3 linked regions of the Arabidopsis thaliana genome follow. Each later gene encodes a partner of the first gene's protein in a complex. Each region holds a gene or a part of one and is shown in the gene's direction. Other genes may lie near its edges.

The links. Proteins that work in one complex are often made in the same cells at the same time.
Region 2: AT1G64510 (region 1) and PSRP3/1 share a complex: the UniProt entries of both Arabidopsis thaliana proteins name them as parts of the 30S ribosomal subunit.
Region 3: AT1G64510 (region 1) and rps8 share a complex: the UniProt entries of both Arabidopsis thaliana proteins name them as parts of the 30S ribosomal subunit.

What each region holds. Positions count from the first base shown.
Region 1 is NC_003070.9:23,953,606-23,958,745, reverse strand, and holds AT1G64510 (Translation elongation factor EF1B/ribosomal protein S6 family protein), read left to right. Parts: upstream 1-2,441; 5' UTR 2,442-2,468; coding exon 2,469-2,921; intron 2,922-3,510; coding exon 3,511-3,753; 3' UTR 3,754-3,943; downstream 3,944-5,140. Other genes in the region: RPN12a (regulatory particle non-ATPase 12A), read right to left, coding at 626-766, 856-967, 1,063-1,326, 1,407-1,509, 1,804-1,882, 2,183-2,287; AT1G64500 (Glutaredoxin family protein), read right to left, coding at 4,370-5,140. UniProt on the Arabidopsis thaliana protein: Binds together with bS18 to 16S ribosomal RNA.
Region 2 is NC_003070.9:25,756,384-25,760,384, reverse strand, and holds PSRP3/1 (Ribosomal protein PSRP-3/Ycf65), read left to right. Parts: upstream 1-1,973; 5' UTR 1,974-2,215; coding exon 2,216-2,440; intron 2,441-2,516; coding exon 2,517-2,792; 3' UTR 2,793-2,958; downstream 2,959-4,001. Other genes in the region: AT1G68600 (aluminum activated malate transporter family protein), read right to left, coding at 132-438; AT1G68585 (uncharacterized protein), read right to left, coding at 2,959-3,113, 3,200-3,281, 3,361-3,474. UniProt on the Arabidopsis thaliana protein: Component of the chloroplast ribosome (chloro-ribosome), a dedicated translation machinery responsible for the synthesis of chloroplast genome-encoded proteins, including proteins of the transcription and translation machinery and components of the photosynthetic apparatus.
Region 3 is NC_000932.1:79,048-82,458, reverse strand, and holds rps8 (ribosomal protein S8), read left to right. Parts: upstream 1-1,986; coding exon 1,987-2,391; downstream 2,392-3,411. Other genes in the region: rpl14 (ribosomal protein L14), read left to right, coding at 1,395-1,763; rpl36 (ribosomal protein L36), read left to right, coding at 2,857-2,970; rps11 (ribosomal protein S11), read left to right, coding at 3,083-3,411. UniProt on the Arabidopsis thaliana protein: One of the primary rRNA binding proteins, it binds directly to 16S rRNA central domain where it helps coordinate assembly of the platform of the 30S subunit.

The sequences.
Region 1 (5,140 bases):
TGTTATTTAGCTGTTAATCAATATTTTAACCCCAAGGAGAAGAAATGCTTGCAACGTAAATCCCCACTTGTTTCAAGTTGATGAGTGTTTGGCAATTGACAATTGTGTGTCCCTTGTTCTGTAATGACAATCCTTCCTTCCTTCTTCCATATTTGGACTAGGTTGTTCATCAAAGGAAGGAAGGCCCCGGCTACACTACGTTAGAGGCTCTCCAAATCTGTCCTTTTCATCCACAACTAAACCAAACCCAAATTCAAATAACCAAACTGAACTAAAACATTCCACCGCAAACCAAACCGAAATTGAGTATCCCGGACCACGGTAACTCTGAATTCCAAACTATACCTAGTTTTGAACACCCCTAGAATTATGGACATCATGTTCAAGCAAAGCATCAAAGTGAGGAGGACAGAGTCTCCAATTGAAAACGAGTGAACACTAAACAATAGAATATAACGTAAAAGGATATGGAAAAACAGATTGATATCACAACAAAGTCTCATTGACCCGGAGAAAATACTGAGTCGCTCAATATCGGTCATTACATGATAACAAAGTTTTCTGACCCAGAGATTTCCAGGAACATAACAGAAGAGAAGAGACAAGCAGTGAGAAAAGTCGAATCTTACACGATACGCTCCAGCTCTCTGGCGTAGCTTAGAGTCTGGTTGATGAGTTGCAGAGACGGAATCTCTTTGCACGGTGCAGTTTCTTTGGCTTTCTGGAAGACAACAAACCCTTCCTTCACTTCCCACTCAGGATGCTCCTATAAGATTTGATAAAACCTAAATCGCGTCAATGGTTCATGAAACTAAAAAAGATTCTAAACTTTGCACAAAATGTTTTTTCTCTTACATCTGTGACATAGGTTAAGAGTTCTTGATCAGAAGAGAACAACAACATCTGCCGGGCATCGCTGATAGAGACATAATCATAAGCTTTCTCGCTGCATCCAGCTATTTCATCTCTGTGAATTCAGTCATAACAATAAAAAGGTGAGATAACACGCGAGAAGACATAAGACTGAACTAATTCAGAGAAGGACAGACTCATTGATGCTACCTTATGGTCTTTGCCAAGAGATCCATGAAATAGACGTAAGTTGCATCAGGCGCGGTCTGTCTAGCACTCAACACACGGTTATAGGCACCCTCCATGAAGGATTGCTCAAGCTCTACTGCATGCTTGATGCAAGGATCCTCTAGTGTAGCTGATGAAAGTAATTCAAGCTCGGTGTGGAATTCAGCAATTCTATTTTGTACCAGCAGCCTCAGAAGGTTAAGACCCAGGATAAGATTCTCCTGTGGAGACTGAGGAATACGGTTCCTGGTGCAGAGGAAAAGAAGATATGTTAGACCAAAAGAAAATGAAAAAGATAATGTTCAGACAGTTGGTTCTTTCTTTACCTGGCATCCACATAGTAAGGTTTCAGCTGGAAGAAATCTCTCTCAAAAGCATCTTGATCCTCGGTTTTGACGCTTAGAACAACAGCATGCTCATAAATGTCCCCTAGAATACACCAATTGTCAAAGTTTTAGAAACGGATAATCAATAAGAACAAAAATTACCAATAACTCAATCCAAACCAATGCAGCATTCAACGATTAATGTATACATATAGGGATAGACAGACAAACTAAAGCAGTACAATCCCTCAGACACTCTTCAGTGGTATTTAAGTATAGTTAACAAATAACTCATGAGAATAGACAAATCCAAAACACTCCATGCAATTGAAAGCAAAACTCTAAACTTACTAGCAAATAGCTCATGTAAAACCAATAATGAAAAAGAGAAACTTACTTGCAATAGTCAATTCCTTGGCTGCATTAGGTGAATTCTCGAACAATGGAGGAAGACTTGTGAATTTGGTAAGAAGAACCTGAAGAACACAACAAAACCCCAGCGACATCAGAGACTCGCACCAGTAAATTGTAAATCTAAACCAATCCCAACAATCCCTTAAAGTAGAAAGTTAAAAATTTCATAGCACTTAGCTCTTCTAAAAGATCCTTAACACACTTATATGCTAAAAATTCTCACTTCAATAAATCAAAGCTCTCATAGATTTAAACTCTCGCGACATAACCCATCAATTTTCCCAAAGTTGGTTCAATAAGCAGATATGCAAAGAAGTGAATTGAAACAAATTAGGGTTCAAAGAAGAGAGAGAGATGTAGACCTTAAGCTGAGACAACAGATCGCTACAGGTATTGTAATCCTTCCTCGCAAACGCCGCCTTGAATCTCTCGAACTGCTGTGAAACTTCAGTTAGCTGCGGATCCATCGCTTCTATGGTTTTTTCTCTTCACCGGCGACGATTCTTTTCTTATAGATTTGATTGCTCCGAGAACTGGCTTGATCGCGAAGACAAATAATACAGATAGAAATAATTGTCTTTACAAAACGGGCCTTTAACAGGCCCAATAACCTAAAAAGGCCCATGGTGTACAATAGAATTCTGACTAATGTGTACCATCATCATCTCTTATCCAAATTTTACTCTCTCATCTCCTCTTTGCTTTCACAATCTCACAACAATGGCGTCTTCGCTGTGTGTATCAAATTCCACAATTTGCCCTCTGCCTAATGTATCTTCGCAGCCGCTGCTATCATTCTCCCACTCTCTCAGGCCATTCATTTCCAAGTCGAAACCTATGTGTGCCTCGATACAGAAGAGAGATGGCTCTCAATTTGTGGTGAAATCTCAGGCTCTTGACTTCTCTGGAACTTTCTTTGAAGGTGGATTCGGGTCGGATGATGACCCGACTTCTCCTTCCGGGTCGGGAGTCTCAACTGCCCTTGAAGACAAACCGGAACCTCAGTGCCCACCTGGGCTCAGGCAGTACGAAACAATGGCGGTTTTGAGACCAGACATGTCTGAAGATGAACGGCTTGGTCTTACCCAGAAATACGAAGAGGTAAGTAAAAGTCTCCAACTTTACCTGTTTTCTGTTTCATGTCAGAGGGAAATTTGATTATTTGAGAGAGAAAGAGATTTTAGGATTCAATTAGAAGTTGAGTAAGAGATCACTAAAAGTTGTATCTTGTGTCTGTTCTTACACGTTAATGACAAAGCAAGAGAAAATGGTTTCAATGTAGAGTTGTGTAACTTGCAGCTATCAATTGAATGTTTGTGACGACTCCTTGTTAAAATTGAAGTAAAGAGTTTAACTTTCTAAGAGCAAATCTCATCCTTCTGTGGGCTGTGAATTCTTTAAGTCTCAACCATTTGAAACAAGATAGGAGCCCTTAGTGCACTTCTTAGTTTTTTAGTCATGTTTTACCATAACATTTTAACTCAATTCTTGAAATGTCCTTTGATGCTCGAAACGAGCTAATACACAGTTATCATTTGTGGTTTACGCGTGGGTTCTTTTACGCTATATCACATGTTTAATCTAATGAGGAATTCTGAAATTTATGTTCGGAGTAGTGGAAGTTTTTAGTTGGTGCAGACTCTGAAAGATTCATTATGTTGCTGGGATTTCTTTTTGGTGTGTGTGGCAGTTGCTTGTGGCAGGAGGTGGAATGTATGTGGAAGTGTTTAACAGAGGAGTGATTCCGTTGGCTTACAGCATAAGAAAGAAGAACAAAGCTGGAGAAACCAACACTTACTTGGATGGAATCTACCTTCTCTTCACTTACTTCACCAAACCCGAATCAATAGTTCCACTCGAGACCGTTCTCACTGCCGACGATGACATTATCCGATCATCTTCCTTCAAGATAAAGAAGAGGAAGTACAACTGAAGACCATGAACATTGTGTATGTGAGAAAAATGTCAGATTCTTTTTTTGTTTCTTTGTAAGAACAAAAGTAAATCTATCTTTTTTGTATCTTTTTTTGTGCATTGCTCTGCTTTCTTATGTAACTGTGAGAAACTCTTAAAGCTAAGTTTGAGAAGCATACTTGTATGCATTTTCATTAAAAGATTTTAACTAACACTAACTTGCCATAGTTACTATAATGATGGAATTCATATTACTCTGTTTCATAGCACAAAATCCTCAACGGATGCATAACAATCAAACAAAATAGCAACAAAGAACAAATTTGTAAAGTATTCAGGCAGAAGTGACTTTGTTTGCCAGCTTTTACCTTCTGACGATCCAAACTTAAATTAGTGAGATTGTTGAACTCCTTTACGTAATTGATCAAAACCATCAACATATACGAGTGAGAGACCTTGCAAGCTTAGCATTATAATGGTTCACGTTCATGCTTTAACATTTTATGAAAATCCTAGCATAGTTTCAAATCATTTTCAATTCCACAAAATCAAACGTGTCACATACATATAACAAAACAAACGGGACAAAGTATATTTGACACACCTCTATTTGCTTGTGTAAACTAATAATGTTCTTAATTAACAAAACACACGGGACAACGAATCAATCCATTCTCATTACACTTGACACACCTCTCCCACCTTTCACCTTTGGCCGCCCCAACCGCCGCCACCTTACAGCTTCCGCCGCACTCGAAACAAGGCAACCACCTCGCTCCTCCGCACCCTTCACACGTGAGCCTCCCTTCCTCCCCTACTCTCTCCACACGTGCCCACCGCAACACCCTCCCTAACTTCCCGTTCTCATTCATCGCTGTCACTTCCGCTGCTCCTCCCAAGTACCTCCCTTTCACAAACACTCGCGGCGGCGCCACTGATGCTTCGTCTTGGAGAAGCTCCTTAAGCTCGCTCAAGACTCCGGCGTCTAAAGACACGTCCCTCTCGTCCACCACAACTCCTTGCTGCTCCATGATGGCCCTCACACGCATACAATCCTCGTACGTGCGACGCACTCCTTGCAACGACGTCGTGTAGACAATCAAACCTTCCCCTCCTCCCGGCGGACACTTCTCCGGGAACTCCCTAAGTGGGTCCCAGTTCATCACCGGCTTCTTGTTCCCTTCTTTCTCCCTCCGTTCTCTGTCTCTCTTGACGAATATGTTCTCCTTCACTGACCGAGGCCCCGAGTAGGACGACTGAGTGGACTCGGTTCGATCATCTGACTCGGGTCTTAGCTTGGACATCGACTCGGTTCTCTTAAGCTTAACCATTGTCGTCGGGATTTGCGCGGCGATGCTTCTTTTGGCCCTCACTTCAAGCTCGTCCAGTGTGTGGAACGATGCGCT
Region 2 (4,001 bases), 1.8 Mb from region 1:
AAAAGAATCTTTACTAGATTTGCTTCACATGCGCAAGTGTCTTGAGTTCAAGATTCCAACAAAACATAAAAACAAAACTCAAAGATCCAATCAAAGGATCATAAACTAGGCTATGAGTTAAGAATCAATACCGACGTAATACTCGAAAATGAGAACGACGGTGAGAATCGCCCAAACTGCGAATTTACTAGCATCTTGAAGCGGCTCTTTGAGAAAGATGACGAAAGAACAGAGTGCCAAAGCAATTCCCATCTTGATGGAGAAGTAAAGTTTCCTACGATCAGAATGTCCCAGCGCGTACAACTTCGCCGGAGCCTCGTAGAGAGCCCTCCACGAGCAACACCGGAACTTGGAGTCACGGCTATCAGCGACGTCGCTTGACTGCCAGAGAAGCTTCTCTGTGTTTTGCTCCGGTACTGATCCCATTTTACCTCCCATTAGAAATGATTCTGACAATTCTACAGAACCTGAGAGATTCTTGTCGTCCTTACGAATAGAAAGATGTTTATTTATCTATTTATCAAGATTTGTTTTGTACTACGCAATTAATGCATGCCTTCGATTCATCATCTCTAAATAATCAAGTTTTTTTAAAAAATTTACAATTTGGTGCATCTACATTACAAATTTTAATAATTGTCCGATTTATAACTTTGATGTTTTTGGTTGAAATCTAATCATTAACATATTAACCACCAAAAGTGTCCAAATTTTTTGAAACAGATGGAATTTAAAACGTGAGAATTTACATTTGTGGACCAGTAATGCATAAATGGACCGGTAAGGCCGTAATATGATTTTTTGTGACTATTAGTTATTCAGTAAAAAAATTAAAAATAGAATTATATTATTTCTTAATTTCTGTTCAATGTGTTAATGTTTCTTAAACTGTAGACTTTACCTTTTTGGCTCAGCTACATAATATTTTTTCATAGTTACCCGATTTAGTAAGTTTTTTTGTTGAATCTAAACATCAACATAATTCATTGTGACCAGTAAAAGTGTCGCAGAAATAACAACAGATATCTATGGATAAACAACCTGAGAATTAACTATAGTGGACGTGTGTAATGTAAATGGACCAATAATGTGACGGTGAACAAATTTACACACATATCTTAAAGTCTCTTCAAGTTCAAGACTCTAATAATTGAATTACAGACCCACAGTTTTGGAGAAGTTGCAAGTATCAAAGAGACGACAAGTTTCATGGTCGTGACTTGTGTGAATGTGACATTTTGAAACTCCTACTTACTACCGCATCGCATCTTACTACTTCCTAACTATGCTCAAAAGCCAAGCCCTACCCTACACAGTGTACCCACCCTCACATGAGATTTTTCCTACTTTTTTTTGAGAAACAACAATTATTTATGTATTTTGGGTGAGTTTGATTGTTTTATCCAATTATTGTATGCTGAAAATAAAAAATATCGTGTGCACATTATATAATAACTACGATGTAAGAAGTATTTCAAACTTTTACTATATATACTCATCGAATGATGTTCATGAATGACCATCATGGTGTCTTTCTCCTTAAAGGCTTTCTCATCTCATCTATCCAGTGCTACTTCAAGTCCAAAGAAAGACTCTTCTTTGGCCTCAGCAAACCTGTGAAAATAAAGAAGACGATTTTTTAAGATGAATCATGTGACATAATGTAAAAAGAATCATGTGACATATATAATGTAAAGGCCACTTTCTCAACAATTATTTGTTTTTGATAAATAAATAAAACAAATTGAGGACATCTTGCAGCGTACAATATCGATAATTATATTTTGTTAAAAATTGTGTTTTGATTAATACAAAAATTTATTTCACACAAAAAAATTTATTGACTTTGATCAAATCATGAACACTAAACAAAGATGAGGTTTTTAATTTTTGTATAAATACTTGTGGCTGTCAAATGTCATTCGAATTAAATATGATATGATTAATACTTATATGTTGAGATCTTTGAATTAGTCCCTCGAAAATACTTGAAACAGAGTCTGTATTTTTAAAAGTCTACTTCTCAAAGCTTCAGGTTTGTATTCATGGGCTTATAATAAACTCTGTATTCTTGACCCATTTAATGATGGGCCAAGTCAACAAAGCCCATAAATTTGATAGTCAAACTACTTTGAAACTCCACCCAAAAATGTGACCATATCTTCCTTATCCATATTCTCACAAAATCTCCATTGTTCTCTGAGAAAACACAAAAATGATGTCATCAATGGCACTCTCTTCTACTTCCCTCTGCTCTTCTTTCATCTCTCAACATCCAAAACTCTCCATCACTGCTTCTCCTCCATTGTTCCATACCCAAACAACCAAACCCATCTCTGTAAAACGGAAAATCATAACTCTAGCAGCTCCAGAGACACTCACCGCTGAAACAGTCACCGGAATTGATACTTCCGACAACACTCCACAACAAACAATAAAGGTAAAAACAACATATTCTTCTTCATCTTCTTGTCTCTTGTGTTACAAAACCCACAAATCTTTGTTGTTTGTGTTAGGTGGTGAAGCCAGATGAGAAATCAAGAGTGGTACTCAAGTTTGTGTGGATGGAGAAGAACATAGGATTAGGATTGGACCAACATGTACCTGGACATGGCACAATCCCACTTAGTCCTTACTTCTTCTGGCCTAGGAAAGATGCTTGGGAAGAGCTTAAGTCTACTCTTGAAGCTAAACCATGGATCTCTCAGAAGAAGATGATCATTCTTCTAAACCAAGCCACTGATATCATCAATCTCTGGCAACAAAGTGGCGGCAATTTAACTTCTCAATAATCTCTTTTTTGATTTCTGCATTTCAAGAATTCACTTTGTCTATGATTATTATTGCTATTGAGAGTTTTTTGTTTATCTAAACAATATCCAATCACATTCGACATAAAAGATTCATTTTATTGGAAAGAGAAAATGATAATAAAAGCAAACATCAAGCAACTCTGAGTTATTGTTTCCTTGAAGGACATATCAAACGCTTGATGGTTGAGATTTTGCAGAGAAGAGCTTCACCATAGGATTTAGAGACTCTCCGGTCACCGGAATATGTACACGTTAGTGTCACTTTCTTCTCCAACACACTCACCAATATTGAATATGTTTCTGCTCCAAGAAAACAGAGGAAACAAGCGTGAGAGGAAAGAACAAAAAAGTGTCTCATCTCGGAAGTAAGTAAGCTATATACTCACCGATCATCCTCGCCATTATGTCGGCGACTTTCTCTTGGCAGTCACTACATCTGATGTCTGCTGATAGAACAATCTCCTGAATCTGATAACACACAAGATCAATTAAAAGAATCCACAGAGTTGAATCATTCTAAGACAAAAGTGTTAAGAGAGTAACGAACAAGTGGCATGGATAACGATGCGACAGAAGCGAGACTGGTTTCACTTGTTCTTGAAAGCTTGCTTCTTAGTGATGGTTCAAGTTCCTCCTCGACGATTTGAGACAGAGTAGCCATGACACTCTCGTTGCACAGAGAAGATAGATAAAACAGGAAATGAAGAATCCTATAGAAACAGTCTCTTGTACAAGGAAAGATAAGTAAAACAAAAATCTAGAATCCTAAAGAAACCACCAAACCAAGAGTGGGAAACGAAGAGTGTCGCTATCCGAAAAGGATGAGTTAGCAAAACTAGTGACAGAGGAAGCCCATCTTTGCTTTTGCTTTAATCTTTGGAGAAAACTAAGTTTAGAGACTCAAGAGACATGTTAACACACAATAGAGATATAATATATGCTTTGGATCCATGACTTAGTGTCCATTAATCTGAGTAAGAAAGTCAAGTTCTTTTGGCTCCTCTTTATTTCCTCTACATTGTTTGAAAAAGATGCTTCACTCACCAAAATGCAACCCCACCAAAATCATTCAAGTTGGAGGATTCTGACTTGGTCTTAAACGAATTTAAATAGCTTACCTTTTTCACCTTACCCTACCTTTTGGTAAGCCAATCATCTATAGCACAACAAGAGATGATAATAGGTAAA
Region 3 (3,411 bases), on another chromosome or scaffold:
AAAAAGAATAAAGAACTATAATTATAAGTTATGAAAGGTAATCGAAAAGTATGCGGATTCAGTGGAAGGATGAAAGAAAGAGAGAAAAAATTGAATATTAATGATATATTATTCCAATTTGGAAAGTCTATGAGGTCACTGTAAGAAAAGCAATGTAATAAAGCATCAATACAGATTCATTCAGAATAATTAGATAAATCTGTTCCGAAAACAAAAAAAATTAAGAGCCTTGAGCCAATAAAAACTAAGAAAATTGACTCAAAAACAAATAAAAAAAATGAAATTCCCGATTTCATATAAGAGCTCCATTGTAGAATTCGGGCCTAATGATTAATCAAGAAGCGATGGGAACGACGGAACCCATGAATATAGAGGATTCTATTGAAAAATAAATCTTAGTAATTCATTGGACAGGATGGCGGAATAAACCAGATTATTATCTATTCTTATTTTTATTCAGAGATCTCCTGGGATAAACAACAAACTTAATATAGATATTGAAAGAGTAAATATTCGCCGGCGAATACTTTTTTTTTAATAAAAGTAATAAAAAACAAAAATTAAAAAGATAAAAGAAAATAAGGATTTGTTAGAATATTCTAACAAAAACGACATTCGAGATGATGATATTACGTTACGTTATTTTTAAATAAATAGAATTAATCTTGGATTCCATTTCGAAAAAGACATACACAAATTTAGAAGAGATCAGATGAAATTGAATATCATGATTAATAGAATTAATCATTAACTATATCTTAATACAAGCTTTTTTAGTCCTTTTATTCGCGAGGAGCTGGATGAGAAGAAACTCTCACGTTCAGTTCTGTAGTAGAGATGGAATTTCTAATTTAGAACCATCAACTATAACCCAAAAAGAACCAGATTTCGTAAACAACATCGAGGAAGACTAAAAGGAATATCTTCTCGTGGGAATCGTATTTGTTTTGGCAGATATGCTCTTCAAACACTTGAACCCGCTTGGATCACATCTAGACAAATAGAAGCAGGGCGACGCGCAATGACACGAAATGTACGACGTGGTGGAAAAATTTGGGTACGTATATTTCCAGACAAACCAGTTACAGTAAGACCTGCGGAAACGCGTATGGGTTCTGGGAAAGGATCCCCTGAGTATTGGGTAGCTGTGGTTAAACCAGGTAAAATCCTTTATGAAATGGGTGGTGTACCCGAAAATATAGCAAGAAAAGCTATTTCAATAGCGGCATCAAAAATGCCTATAAAAACCCAATTCATTATTTCTGAATAGGAATATATAATGAAAAAACTAAATAACATTTAAGGGTAAAAAGATTATAAGTTTTCTTTTTTTGACAAACAATATTTTTTTACTTCGTCCTTTGCATTAAAAGAAGAGATACAAAAAAAATGATATGATTCAACCACAAACCTATTTGAATGTAGCAGACAACAGCGGGGCTAGAGAATTGATGTGTATTCGAATAATAGGAGCTAGTAATCGCCGATATGCTCATATTGGTGACGTTATTGTTGCTGTAATCAAAGAAGCAATACCAAATACTCCTCTAGAAAGATCAGAAGTGATTAGAGCTGTAATTGTACGTACTTGTAAAGAACTCAAACGTAACAATGGGACGATAATACGATATGATGACAATGCCGCAGTTGTCATTGATCAAGAAGGAAATCCAAAAGGAACTCGAGTTTTTGGGGCGATCCCACGGGAATTGAGACAATTAAACTTTACTAAAATAGTTTCATTAGCTCCTGAGGTATTATAAGATCTAAATATCGATAGCGATAGTTAGTATCGGATTAAAAAAACAGGTATTGAAATAAAATTAATTAATAGATTCTGTATCACGCATATACCCTTAATAATAAAATATTAAGAATTTAATTCATATATTAATATATAATTCGTCTATATCTATATATAAATAAAAGAAAAAGAACATGTTGATTATATCAAAATTATAGAACAATAAGGAATTTTAACTTATCATGGGGAAAGACACCATTGCTGATATAATAACCTCTATACGAAATGCTGACATGAATAGAAAAGGAACGGTTCGGATAGGATCGACTAACATCACGGAAAGTATTGTTAAAATCCTTTTACGAGAGGGTTTTATCGAAAACGTAAGGAAACATCGCGAAAACAACCAATATTTTTTGATTTTAACCCTAAGACATAGACGAAATAAGAAAGAATCCTACAAAACGATTTTAAATTTAAAGAGAATAAGTCGACCGGGTCTACGAATCTATTCTAACTCTCAACGAATTCCACGAATTTTAGGCGGAATAGGAATTGTAATCCTTTCGACTTCTCAAGGTATAATGACAGACCGAGAAGCTCGACTAAAAAGAATCGGCGGAGAAATTTTGTGTTATATATGGTAATCCTTCTAATATAAAAATTAGATATCTGTAACTTACAATTTGTGAAAAAAGGGGGTTGTGTAATACCACCCCTGTTCAAAAAAGTTTCGGATGTTTTACTTCGAATGAAATTAAAGAAAAAATGAATTAATAAAAGTTTTCTTTCTTAATCACTTCCGAACGGCATGGTTCGATTTTGTTTAGATACTAAAGATTTTTTTTCGTTCATGCTTCTGAAAGGATTCGACATATTTTTGTATAGGTATACCTATAGGATAAAAAGGTAAAATTTTGAGTAAGTTCTTAAGTATAAGTTAATAAGGGGACAGCCATTTTCTAGACTCCATAATAAGTATTCAAATGAGTAAGTGTTTTTTCAATTTCAACCATTCCTTTCACGAAGATACAATTCAAGATTCAAAAATATCAAGAAACCTTTTTTTCGTCCACCAATAAATATATTCACAGAATTAAGGAATAACAACTATGAAAATAAGGGCTTCCGTTCGTAAAATTTGTGAAAAGTGTCGACTAATCCGCAGGAGGGGACGAATTATAGTAATTTGTTCCAACCCGAGGCATAAACAAAGACAAGGATAATCTTACTAAAGGAACTAAAGTAAAAGAAAAGGCACTTCCAAAGAGTTGGAAAAAAGGGTCTATTTTGACCTGAAATGGATATATCCATATATTTCTTGTGAAATGAAAAAAAATGGCAAAACCTATATTAAGAATTGGTTCGCGTAAAAATACACGTAGTGGTTCACGTAAAAATGTACGTAGAATACCAAAGGGAGTTATTCATGTTCAAGCAAGTTTCAACAATACCATTGTAACCGTTACAGATGTACGGGGTCGGGTGATTTCTTGGTCCTCCGCAGGTACTTGTGGATTCCGGGGTACAAGAAGAGGAACACCCTTTGCTGCCCAAACCGCAGCAGGAAATGCTATTCGAGCAGTAGTGGATCAAGGTATGCAACGAGCTGAAGTAAGGATAAAAGGCCCTGGACTCGGAAGAGATGCGGCATTACGAGCTATTCG